3 linked regions of the Arabidopsis thaliana genome follow. The protein of the gene in region 3 purifies or fractionates together with the protein of the main gene of each other region. This does not show direct contact. Each region holds a gene or a part of one and is shown on either strand. Other genes may lie near its edges. The genes, in order: VHA-A, ABCG34 and PIP2A.

Evidence for each region.
Region 1: the proteins of PIP2A (region 3) and VHA-A purify together in Arabidopsis thaliana (affinity purification with mass spectrometry, with the first as the bait; one large-scale study listed by BioGRID). This does not show direct contact.
Region 2: the proteins of PIP2A (region 3) and ABCG34 purify together in Arabidopsis thaliana (affinity purification with mass spectrometry, with the first as the bait; one large-scale study listed by BioGRID). This does not show direct contact.

What each region holds. Positions count from the first base shown.
Region 1 is NC_003070.9:29,658,019-29,661,776, reverse strand, and holds the start of VHA-A (vacuolar ATP synthase subunit A), read right to left. Parts: upstream 1,690-3,758; 5' UTR 1,530-1,689; exon of another isoform or gene 1,379-1,529; 5' UTR 1,315-1,378; coding exon 1,237-1,314; intron 985-1,236; coding exon 858-984; intron 748-857; coding exon 692-747; intron 612-691; coding exon 555-611; intron 449-554; coding exon 337-448; intron 250-336; coding exon 212-249; intron 83-211; coding exon 1-82. Other genes in the region: AT1G78895 (Reticulon family protein), read left to right, coding at 1,911-2,077, 2,542-2,683, 2,902-2,971, 3,349-3,464. UniProt on the Arabidopsis thaliana protein: Catalytic subunit of the peripheral V1 complex of vacuolar ATPase. V-ATPase vacuolar ATPase is responsible for acidifying a variety of intracellular compartments in eukaryotic cells.
Region 2 is NC_003071.7:15,255,529-15,259,286, reverse strand, and holds the start of ABCG34 (pleiotropic drug resistance 6), read right to left. Parts: upstream 1,870-3,758; 5' UTR 1,705-1,869; coding exon 1,316-1,704; intron 1,215-1,315; coding exon 1,094-1,214; intron 840-1,093; coding exon 666-839; intron 581-665; coding exon 290-580; intron 211-289; coding exon 120-210; intron 31-119; coding exon 1-30. UniProt on the Arabidopsis thaliana protein: May be a general defense protein.
Region 3 is NC_003074.8:19,804,097-19,807,854, forward strand, and holds the start of PIP2A (plasma membrane intrinsic protein 2A), read right to left. Parts: upstream 1,635-3,758; 5' UTR 1,359-1,634; coding exon 1,052-1,358; intron 584-1,051; coding exon 288-583; intron 161-287; coding exon 20-160; intron 1-19. UniProt on the Arabidopsis thaliana protein: Water channel required to facilitate the transport of water across cell membrane. Probably involved in root water uptake. Its function is impaired by Hg(2+).

The sequences.
Region 1 (3,758 bases), on a different chromosome or scaffold from region 3:
CTGGAGCAATGTAAGTGATCTTCCCCATGGCATCCGGAGGAAGGGCAACGAGGTGATTCATCAAAGTGTTCTCAAAGACAGTCTGCATTCCAAAGTTTAATTTGACTTTCAGAAAAAACTATTCCCAGTGTAAACAAGGGAAACACCACGGTAACTGTGTAAATAGATTCCCTTGTCAAAAGCAGATTAAAGAGGAGACCAATAAACTTACAGCATACAAGTCACCACCAGTTATTGTGTCTCCCTCGACTGCAAACAAAACGAATTCAATTGACCATCAAGATTAAAACCAAATGAACACTTCCATAGACAGGCATATGGAGTAAACCACATTACCAAATTTATTGGGCTGGAACTCCCAAAGACAATCTTTGTCAAGAGCTGGAACAGACACACCCCGAGGAATGTACACATCACCGGATATTCTTGCAATAGTCTTCAAAGGCCTCTGTGACATTTAAAGAAATGAAACCAAAGAATCGTAAGAAGCCACATAAAACGAATCATAAAAGTAAAAAAAATCATGTCTAGCAAGATTATAAATCCAACTGAACCTGAATTCCATCAAAGATATTTCCCAATATTCCTGGCCCGAGCTCCACAGAAAGTGGCTGTAGTAAATTCAGGACAAATTATATGTTAGCTGCAGATGAACAACACTAGAAAAAACCAAGATAAATAACTCGCGAACCTTGTGTGTTCGAAGAACGGGATCATTAACTGTCAATCCAGCTGTTTCCTCGTAAACTGATCAAAAGGAAGTTGCCAAATATCAGTTAAGATATCTTACTTCGACAGAGGTCACATAAGATGCCGTAAAGTAAATTACACTAGGAAGCACAATAGAAGAAACAAACCTTGGATGGTGGCAGAATCTCCTTCAAGACGGATGATTTCACCAATCAAATTATCATGACCAACACGCACTAACTCATACATAGCAGCACCGGCCATACCATCGGCAACAACAACAGGACCTGAAACCTGCATCCCATAAAAGAAAATGTCAAATCACTGAGAACTATCAGATCAGATCAGAAATTCAAAGACGAGGTTACTGAACCAACGCGGAATCAACCGATTCAATCACTGATAACTATCAGATCAAATCTAGCTATCCCACCAATCTTACCTGGTAAGCAGATCAACTATTTCATCTATCCATCACCAAAAACTAACATCGCAAAACAGAAAAAAAAACAAATTGAAACCAGATCGAACGAAACAGGATAATACCTTACGAACGTAACCATACTCGCTCTCCTTCTCATCGTCCTCGAAGGTCGTAAGCTTTCCTCCGTAAAACGCCGGCATTTTCTCAGCAATCAGAGATTCAAAAACTCAAATCCGATCGGCCAAAAAAATCAAAATTCACCTCCTAGAAAATGCCGAGATCCGATCAAACAACAACAACAACAAATCAGAAATCGCCAAAATCAGACAACTCTTAAGGTTTTTCAAAGAGAGCGATACAATAAATCAGAAAGAAACAAAAAGGATCAGAGAGAGAGGGATAGAGATCTCCTAACCAGTGAACAGACAGGAAGAGTGGTCACAAGAAGAAGAAGAGAGAGGTGGATGCACGTAGATAGATATTGAAAGAGTTGGAGAAGTTTTGATCTGATTGACGAAATCGTGGAGTGATCCGGTACATGACTACACACGATACGCGCGTAGATCTGGACTTTGTCGTTAATAGCCACGTGACAGTTTATTTATTGGGCTTTATAATATATACTTACGGCCCAATAAGTGGGTCCGTTTAGTCAACAAAGACATGCGGCTTGAGAATCTCTCTCTCTCTCTGATCAAGCCGGAAAATTCACAAAAGTGATCAGTTTTGTTTTCTCGGGGAAATTTTCTGAAAGTGAAGAAAGGGAAAGCAAGTTTTTTTTGAAGTGGGGAGAGAGATGGGAGAAATGGGGAAGGCGATGGGATTGCTGATTAGCGGGACGCTTGTGTATTACCATTGTGCATATCGTAACGCGACTCTTCTCTCTCTCTTCTCCGATGTTTTCATTGTTCTCTTATGCTCTCTCGCCATTCTCGGTCTCCTTTTTCGCCAACTCAATGTCTCGTAAGTTCCCTCACATTTTTCGCCTAAATCTCTCTGGTTACGGTATTGGATTTTGTTCTTTGGTCTCTGATTTAGTCATTTGCTGTTTGGTGACCGAGTAGATACGAAATTTGTTGGCTCCTTTGATTTGTGACAAGTTTGAATACTTGCTCGATATAATTGTTTAATTGGGTTGTACTTTGTAATGTGGTTGTGCAATCAGTTATGTTAACTTGATTATGAAATTGATTTCATGTATTCTCTGAAGGCATGAACTGAAACTAGTTCTCATTGTATTTCTGGGTGAATCAATGATGCATCGATCTTATTTGATTACTATCATCTTCCGTTCTCTGTGATCAATGCATAGTCATAATCCTAGAATGTTCAATGATATCATTATCTTCTGCTCATTGTGTGTATAACTCTTCAAGACCCTTGCTTTATCATACCACATGATTTACAATCCTATAACTTTTCTAAAGGGTACCAGTGGATCCACTAGAGTGGCAAATATCACAGGACACAGCAAGTAACATCGTTGCACGCTTAGCTAATACCGTTGGAGCAGCAGAGGGTGTTCTGAGGGTTGCAGCAACTGGACATGACAAGAGACTTTTTGTCAAGGTAAGTGTGTCCTTTGTTACCAACTTACTATGTACAAGATACCGTTACTATTCTTGGATCATGAGTGTATCAAAATGCATTAGCATCAATATATCACCACAGAGATTCTCTTAGAACCCTAGTGTCTTTACCCAGTTACCATATAAATGCATTGCTAATTGTTAACTCAGTAATTGTGCTCTATACTGAATATGTTTGTTTTTTGCTTTTTCCTTTAGGTCGTAATTTGCCTTTACTTCTTATCAGCGCTTGGGCGACTCATATCAGGTGTAACCGTTGCTTATGCAGGTAAAGCATTCACATTTCATCTCAAATTTATACAGAGTTTCATTTTAATGTGGAAGAGTGTAGTATTTCATTGAATTTTAAAGCATTCACATTTTGTCTCAAACTTATACAAAGTTCATTCTAATGTGGAAGAGTGTGCTCTTACCTTATAAGTAGCATTTCATGGAATTATAAAGCATTCACATTTTGTCTCAAACTTATACAAAGTTTCATTTTAATGTGGAAGAGTGAGCTGTTACCTTATGAGTAGCATTACATACCAATATGTCGGATTTCTTAGCATTTAACAAAAGTTGGCCATTTGGGAAACCCTTCGTCTTGCCTGTGTCAAATATTGCAAACCAATGATCTCTGACTAGTTCTTCTCCCTGAAACAGGACTATGCTTGTTCTGTCTCTCCATGCTCTGTCAGACTTCTCAATCTCTTGGAAACTGTGTACTAAAGCGAGGAAATGGCCAGATTTTAGAACAAGAAGCACATTCTGATACATAATATGTCTAGCTTTTGTTTATACTTTTCGTCTTTTCTCATGCTTACATGCTCATAGCTTCAGTCTTCAGAGTAGTTTCCCCTTATGTACATTGGATTTGTTGCATACTACCTTGTGAAAAATGTAATGATATTGTTTAACCTCCACACCATGTACTTGCCGATCCTATATCTATAATTGTATTCTCTTTTCACGTTAATTTTGGACTCAAGGCATCATCATACAAAACAGTCTGCAAATGTGGTATGAGAACCGAATCTGCGAGCTTATGCGGAAATATATATACACACGATTCA
Region 2 (3,758 bases), on a different chromosome or scaffold from region 3:
GAGCTGTTGCTGGTCCAACCAACATCTCTCCTGCTCATTTTAAACAAGAGACATACAAGTTTAAGAACACATATTCACTGAAGGAACCATGGGAATATCAAAGGGAACATAAGTTGTACCTGTTGTTAGACGTTTCCGCTGTCCACCAGAAATACCTCGTCTCATCACATCTCCAACAAGTGTGTCAGCACAAATGTCCAGACCAAGTAACTGTCAAGTGGCATTAAACCAAGGATAAGGTCAAAAATTGTTTGTTAGAATAAGACAGAAGCATGCAAAAAAGATGTACCTTAAGTACATAGTCTGTAACCAAACTAGTTTCTTGGCCAGATATAGCAATGGATTTCATAAATGCATCAATCTCAGGGTCAGGCTTAATTCCAGCTTCTCTCTCCCTCCTTGAGAGCTCAGTCAAAAGCTGGTACCGAGTCCCAACACCTAAACATCGTCCCGAAAAGTCCAATGACTCTCGCACAGTCATTTCTCCAAAGTGAAGGTCATGCTGACTAATGTAAGCACAAGTCTTCTGAGGAACAAACTCACGAAACTCATGACCGCAGTAAGTTATCCTCCCAGACATCTGTCACAGACCCCGGAAAATGTTAACTCAACCAAGAGCTTACATACATATAAATAATATAAATATGATAGACAACAAAACAAACCTGGAGAGTGTCATCAAGCTTCCCAGCTAAAGCTTGTAACAAAGTTGTTTTCCCTGAACTAGGTGGACCAAGTAATAAAGTCATCCTTGATGGTTTGATAATGCCACTTATATCTTTAAGAATCTCAATCTTCCTCTTCTTAGATGGAAGCAGGTGGAATAATCCAAGAATACTCTGTTTTACAAAGAACCACAAGAATCTTAAGTAAATTAAAGAGATCAACAGTTACATGCAATTTTGACATTCACACATAAAGTTTGACATTTTAAAGATATCTAATTTGGACCCGACAAGACTAAATCCCAAAAAGGTTAAAAATTTATGCCAAGACACAAAAAGCGGTAAAGTTAGGTTTTATCTTTTTTAGATCTTCTCAACAACATTGAACAAGACAAAGTTAATCCAATAAAAAAAAAAAAAAACTGAACCTCGATTGTATTCAAAGTGACGTTGAAGAGAGTAGGAAGAGCTCTGCTTGCACTACGAACATCTCCTTCCACTGAAAGATTCTCATACCTTACTTCAATTTTCGGAACTTCGATTCCCACTCTGTTTCAAAAAAAAAAAAAAAAATTTGTCAGACGAGACAAAAGTTGTAATAAAAAAAAAGAGTTGTTGTTCTTGTTTTTGGTTTTGTCTGAAAATCTGACCTGTCAGTTCTTTCTCTCAATCGCCGAAGAAACTTTTCGTTATCTTCTTCAACGAATTTCAGAATCATTTCCATAAGATGTTTCTTCTCCTTAGGAGCAAGATTCGTGACGTCAACATCTTCAAGTCCAATCTTACCGTTGACCATCGTTTGCGGCAACATACCTTTTCTTAACCGATCGTAAGTCGGTAATCTCTCAAGCGCCGCCCATCGGAGCTCCACGTCATCTTCTTCTCGTCTATCGCTCCGACCAAACACGTCGTCCGTTGGGGGAGCAAACACATCTCTGAAGCTTTTTGAAGCAGCTCCGGCTAAACTCCGGTGACTTGTGGAGCCTAAACTTCCTCTCCCGCTCATTGTTCGGACCAGATCTTCATCTCGTCCTAACATCGCCGCTGAGTCGTCCGGTTTTACTAATGAATGTTCGAGACGATTTAGTTTCCGGCGACCATTTAAAGGGGAGAGAGAAACTCTGGAGTGAGAGAGAAGAGAGAAGAGGCGAGTTTAAAGGCTTCGAGTGACAATATTTTTTTTATTTATAATACAATTTTTTTTTTTGTCTGTTTTCTTTTGTCTAGTAAGACTAACAACTGTTAAATATGATTTAAATAGTATTTTATATTATTTTCCGATAGAAAATACTTAAAAAGAATTACTAGCTATATATATATCGATTTCAATTAGTTATAAAATCCCAAATAAAATTAATTACTATCTATAGCAAAAATGAAATGTTGAATTGATATATGTGTTTGTTAGTTATTTGTATCATATAATTTTTTTTAGTAAAATTAGTTAGTCCAACATTTAGTCTGTTTTACAGATATTTGTTTTTGACTATTGATGTCTAAATGAGTTGATGGATTGCCACCTACTGTTCAGACGTAAATGGTAAATATGATTTATTTTACATCATTTCGATAAAATATACTGAAAAAATTTAGTTCTATATTTAAATCGATCTCAATTAGATAGAAAATATCAAATAAAATTCAATACTATATATAGGAAAGATAAAATGTTGAATTGATGTGATATATGTGCGTGTTACATATTTGTATCAGATAACTTCTTATGAATTTATTTTAATAAATTACTATGAAGAATAACATTGAATTTCTGATGAATTAGTATATCTTATTTATATTATATTGTTTGTAACATATCATAGTTATTTTATAAACAAAATAAATATAGACGTATATATATATATAATTAAGATGTATTTCCTAGCTTTCAGTGTAATTAGTTTAGGTGAATATTTTAGTAAAATTAGTTAGTCCAATATTTAGTCTGCTTTACATATATTTAGTTTTGATAATGGATGTCCAAATGAGTTGATGGATTGTCACCTACTGTTCAGACGTTTATTGCTACATAGTACAGTCGTGTTATTAGGTGTAAGAAATCTACATTGTATGGTGATCAGACGATCAACATTCAACATAATCCGTCTAACTGTTTGCTATGTTCATAATCGTAAGTAAATGGTAAGTCGTCCATACTATTAAAAGTTTTCAAGGTGCTTTTTTAATAAAATTGCATTAAAATCTAACACATGCATGATCTTTTACTTAAGTATCAACTGAAATTCCTCCAACGGAATTATTTTGTACTAAATCAAAATTGTTGCCTATTAATTTTTGTTTTCTGTCGTTTTAAAATTCAAATTGAGGATTTGGAATGTGTGTGAATTGTAAAAAATAATTAAATTCCATCGCATAATTTCTTCCAACGAAGTTATGCTTTCAATTTCAATTAAAAAAAAAAAAAAAAATTAGTGATTTTGCCGCAAACGGTGGATTCTTATAGCATTATCTCGTTGAGTTACAATTTTACAAATTCTGTGATGATTTGATTAGTTTAATTTTGTTGATATTGTAGGTAGTGTGTCTAATTTAAACAAAGTAATATACTAATATTACGGATTGAACGTGTCTCTCGTGTCTATTCGTAGTGATGTAATTGCTTGTGTCATAAATATCATAATAAAATGGGGGGGAAAACTAAAATATTTTTTAAGGGAAATTTAGAAAATTCAGTTGAAAAAAAAAGATTAAAGTCTTTGCGCATGACGACATGTAATATTGTTGGGCATTTTTAATAGGGTTATTTCCACTTTAACAAATACATGAAACTACCACAATTTCATTTTAACAGTATAAACTACGATGCATAGATAGAGCTAAATTCATCGGGAAGGTACTCTCAAGTTTCATCTTAATTGGACACCAAATGCAATCGAATTTTTTTGTTTTGTCTTTTAACAGCATTACGTTTGATATTTTTGGTTAGTTCTGGTTCTCTTTACAAATTGTTGTTTGTTTGATAGTGCTTTCGTTAGCCGAACAATGACAAAACATGACCTCAGATGGTCGACCATGCATTCTCAGTGTGAATAAGTTTGAGGTGTCAGGCTTGCAAATATCGCACGTTGAACTTCT
Region 3 (3,758 bases):
AGAAACGTTGAGGTCTTACGTGGTCATCCCATGGCTTGCTCTTGTTGTAGATTACGGCAGCTCCGAAACTCCTTGCCGGGTTAATTCCGGTTCCGGTAATGGGAATGGTAGCCAAATGTACCATGAACACGGCAAATCCGATTGGAAGTGGCGCCAACACCTTTTATTTCATCAAAATTCAAATTTATTAGTATGATTGAAATCAAATGTTGGTTTGGTTTGCTTTGGTTCCGGTTTTGAGTCGGTTAACCATATTGAAGATTAATAGCACTACATATGTGACTCACCGGAACGTGGGAGTCTCTGGCACTACGTTTGGGGTCAGTGGCAGAGAAGACGGTGTAGACAAGAACGAAAGTACCAATGATCTCTGCGGCTAGACCGGTCCCTGTGCTGTAGCCATCGGCTAGAGAGTTGGCTCCACCTCCGTAACGGGTGTAGTAAGAGCTTTGGAAGGCTTTGACAAAACCAACTCCACAAATCGCACCCAAACACTGAGCGATTATGTACAATAGGGCCCTAGGTAACGACACTTTACGTGCCAAGAATAGCCCAAATGTCACCGCTGGGTTAATGTGACCACCTAAGGAAACAAAAAGAGTTGACAATGTTACCAGTACTTGAGAATTAAGGTACAACAAGCAATTAATTAACCGGTTTCAATTCTGGTTAAGACAGGGTTAGTCAGTTGCTTAAAATAATTACTAGGCTTAGATTAGATATATATCATTCGGATAAGAACCGATTTGATCATGACCCTTATTAAATGTTTTATAAACAAATCATTTTCGTCTTTTAAACCTAAGATTTTAAACCGATTAAATAGTAATGTCAACCAAGCAATATTTTTCCTTGCAAAATAATTAATTTCGAATAAACAAACCAAAACCATACCATATAATTTTTACTTGTCTAAATTTTGAGTTTGCAAGTTGTACTTACATAAGTAAAACTTATTCAGCTTATTCGGTTTAATTGTAATTCTAATACTCAAAAAGTGTATAATCTTAATCTAAACCAAACCAAAATCAAGATTAAAGAAGGATCATACCAGAGATACCGGCGGTGCAGTAGACGAGGATGAAGATCATACCACCAAAGGCCCAAGCGATACCGAGGATTCCAACTCCGCCGCAATCTACGCCACCGGCATCAGTATCGGACTGAATCTTGTAACCGATGACTGTCAAAACGGTGATGTATAAGAAGAGGAGAGTGGCTACGAACTCTGCGATAACTGCTCTGTAGAAAGACCACTTCTTTAGCTCCGCTCCATCAATAAACGGAGCTGGTGGCGGATCTTGATAGTCTCTTGTCTGAAATCCTTCTCCGGGAACGGCTTCCACATCCTTTGCCATAGTTAACTTCTTCTTCTTTCAAACAATAGCTTTTTTTTCTTTTGCTTCTCTGTTGGAGTGGTTAGTGAGAAGAACATGTGCTCTGTTTTATAGTGAGAGCTCTCCTTCTTGTTAATTTGTTTGTATACTTTTTTATTGCTTTATCTTTTAAAAAATATTTTTAGTATTTTTGCCAACGTTATATGTTTTTTTGGTTTTTTGTGTATTGAGGTTTTTTTTTGGAATGAAAGTTTGTATTTTCAATGAAAAAATTGGATATAAAAGTATACGAGTGAGTTATGATTATTATTATTATGAGGGAAGTAGCTTTGACAAAATGATTATGAACTAGCTGTCCTGAAATAAATTTTGAACCAATTCTATTTAATGATTGCTTGATATATCAATATCATACATAGTTACTAATACGTAAAGACAAGAACCCTAGTTTAATTTCAGACTTAGAGTTTTTCAATCGTTGAAATTTGAAAAATTCAAATAAGTTAGCCAGTAAATTTCTTTAAAATTTGATTCGAGTTTATTTTAGATCCTAAATTAGAATAGTTTATTCTATTTAACGTTATAGTTTGCACCAAGTCCATGACAAAAAGATTGATCCAAATCTATTGAACATGCGTCTATAAATACATGATAATGATATGGGATTAGCTAGCTTATGATATCATAAAACAAGACTTTATATCCACTCATATAAACTTGCATAGTTTTATCTCTCGTAGCAATAGGAAGTATCAATCAGTGGTGATGGTGGAGAGCTATCAGAACCACAACTTTGAAATAATTTATTAGTTTTTATGTCAATCAAATTTTTATATGTTTTTCTGGTAAATAATGGAGGTTTTTTTTGTTTACTTTAACTTAGCCTCGCCGCCCCCATCACCTAAATGTCATTTTCTTTAGGACCGACCCAATATACTATATCATCAATATGGTGCTCTCTTCTTTTTGTCGTATAATATCATAGCCTGTCGATTTTTCAGATTTAAAAAGCCACAGTTTTTGTATGCCAAATCATTTTAAAATAACTTACGTCCACTTTTTTTTTTTATCGAATCAGCATTTACATTCTTGAAAACACATAACAAAACTCCAAAACCTTATTTTGCTCCAACGAAGCATGGCTAAGTTTCTTCACTCCAAATCCAACTAATCATGCATGGTTATATTCGAGTGTCTCATTGTATATATAGAGAACATTTTTCTTGTTCACCAAAGTCAAAACACTTTGTTTTCAAAATAGATAGATATATGGTCATTCTCTTACATTATAAACATTTTTGTAGTCTAGAAGGTCTAGTTTTCTATCACCAACATATGTTATTAAGTATGTTTGAGGTGTCATAAAACAAAACCCTACTTGAAGATGTTAGAGCCGGAACTCAAAATTATGACACAATATTAAAGAAGCATAAACTATTTCGTTCACAAACTTTCATTTCAAACTTAATTGACGATAAGTAAATTGATTCGTCGTATATCTTATCACACATAACTCAAATTAGCATTTAAGTTGATATTACTAACATAAAGTAACCAAAGCCTAAACGAACCCTTTTTCATAATTGTTGTGTTGGTATATCACTCTCTAAAACCAGGGTGTAAAGTTATGGTGCCGTTTTGTGGGGTGGGTCGAGATTCCACTGAGGTTAAAATCATATGGTCTGTGTTGGCAAAAGGTGACACGTGAATGGGTGGCGCGCGTGACTAACCGACCCGATCCCTCCGACAAACGTATCGTCACCGTCCAATCCATCTCAGCATATAGCCGTTTGTTCGCTCAACCACTCACATAATGCCACGTTTGTTGTCCCCACCAATCATTTGCATTTTCTCTTCATATCCAAAATTTCATATCTTTTGCGAAAATTGCTGACAATTAGACTGAAAACGAAAATATAACAAAACAATAAATCCCAATAAAAATGACAAATTGTGACAACCAAACAAAAGACAGGAGATGCAGTTCCATGGTTATCGTTTTGCCATGTGGCAAACCTTATCGTTTTGGCTACGTTGGTCGGCTACTATTAGACGAATATTCCACGTCAGCCAACTCTTTTTTCTCATGTTTTTCGAAGTGAATTTTAGATAATAAAAGCACAGAAATGTGAATTTTCTGGTTCTGGTTCTGTTGTTAATTGTTATTAGTATGTTTATTTATATATTTTACACTTTCTTCTATTCATAGAAAACTAGTCTTAACCTTATCTAAATATTCTAGACAAATCGAGTTACATATAGTATGACGTCGTTATGCATAAATTTTGTCCTTTTTAGTCACTCCAATTGAAAGAATTAGTCCAGAATGTACTACAGCAAGATCAACAAACATATATTGATTTATCTGTCTTCATAATTAATAATTTAATATGCATTCAAATGATAATCAATTGGATATAT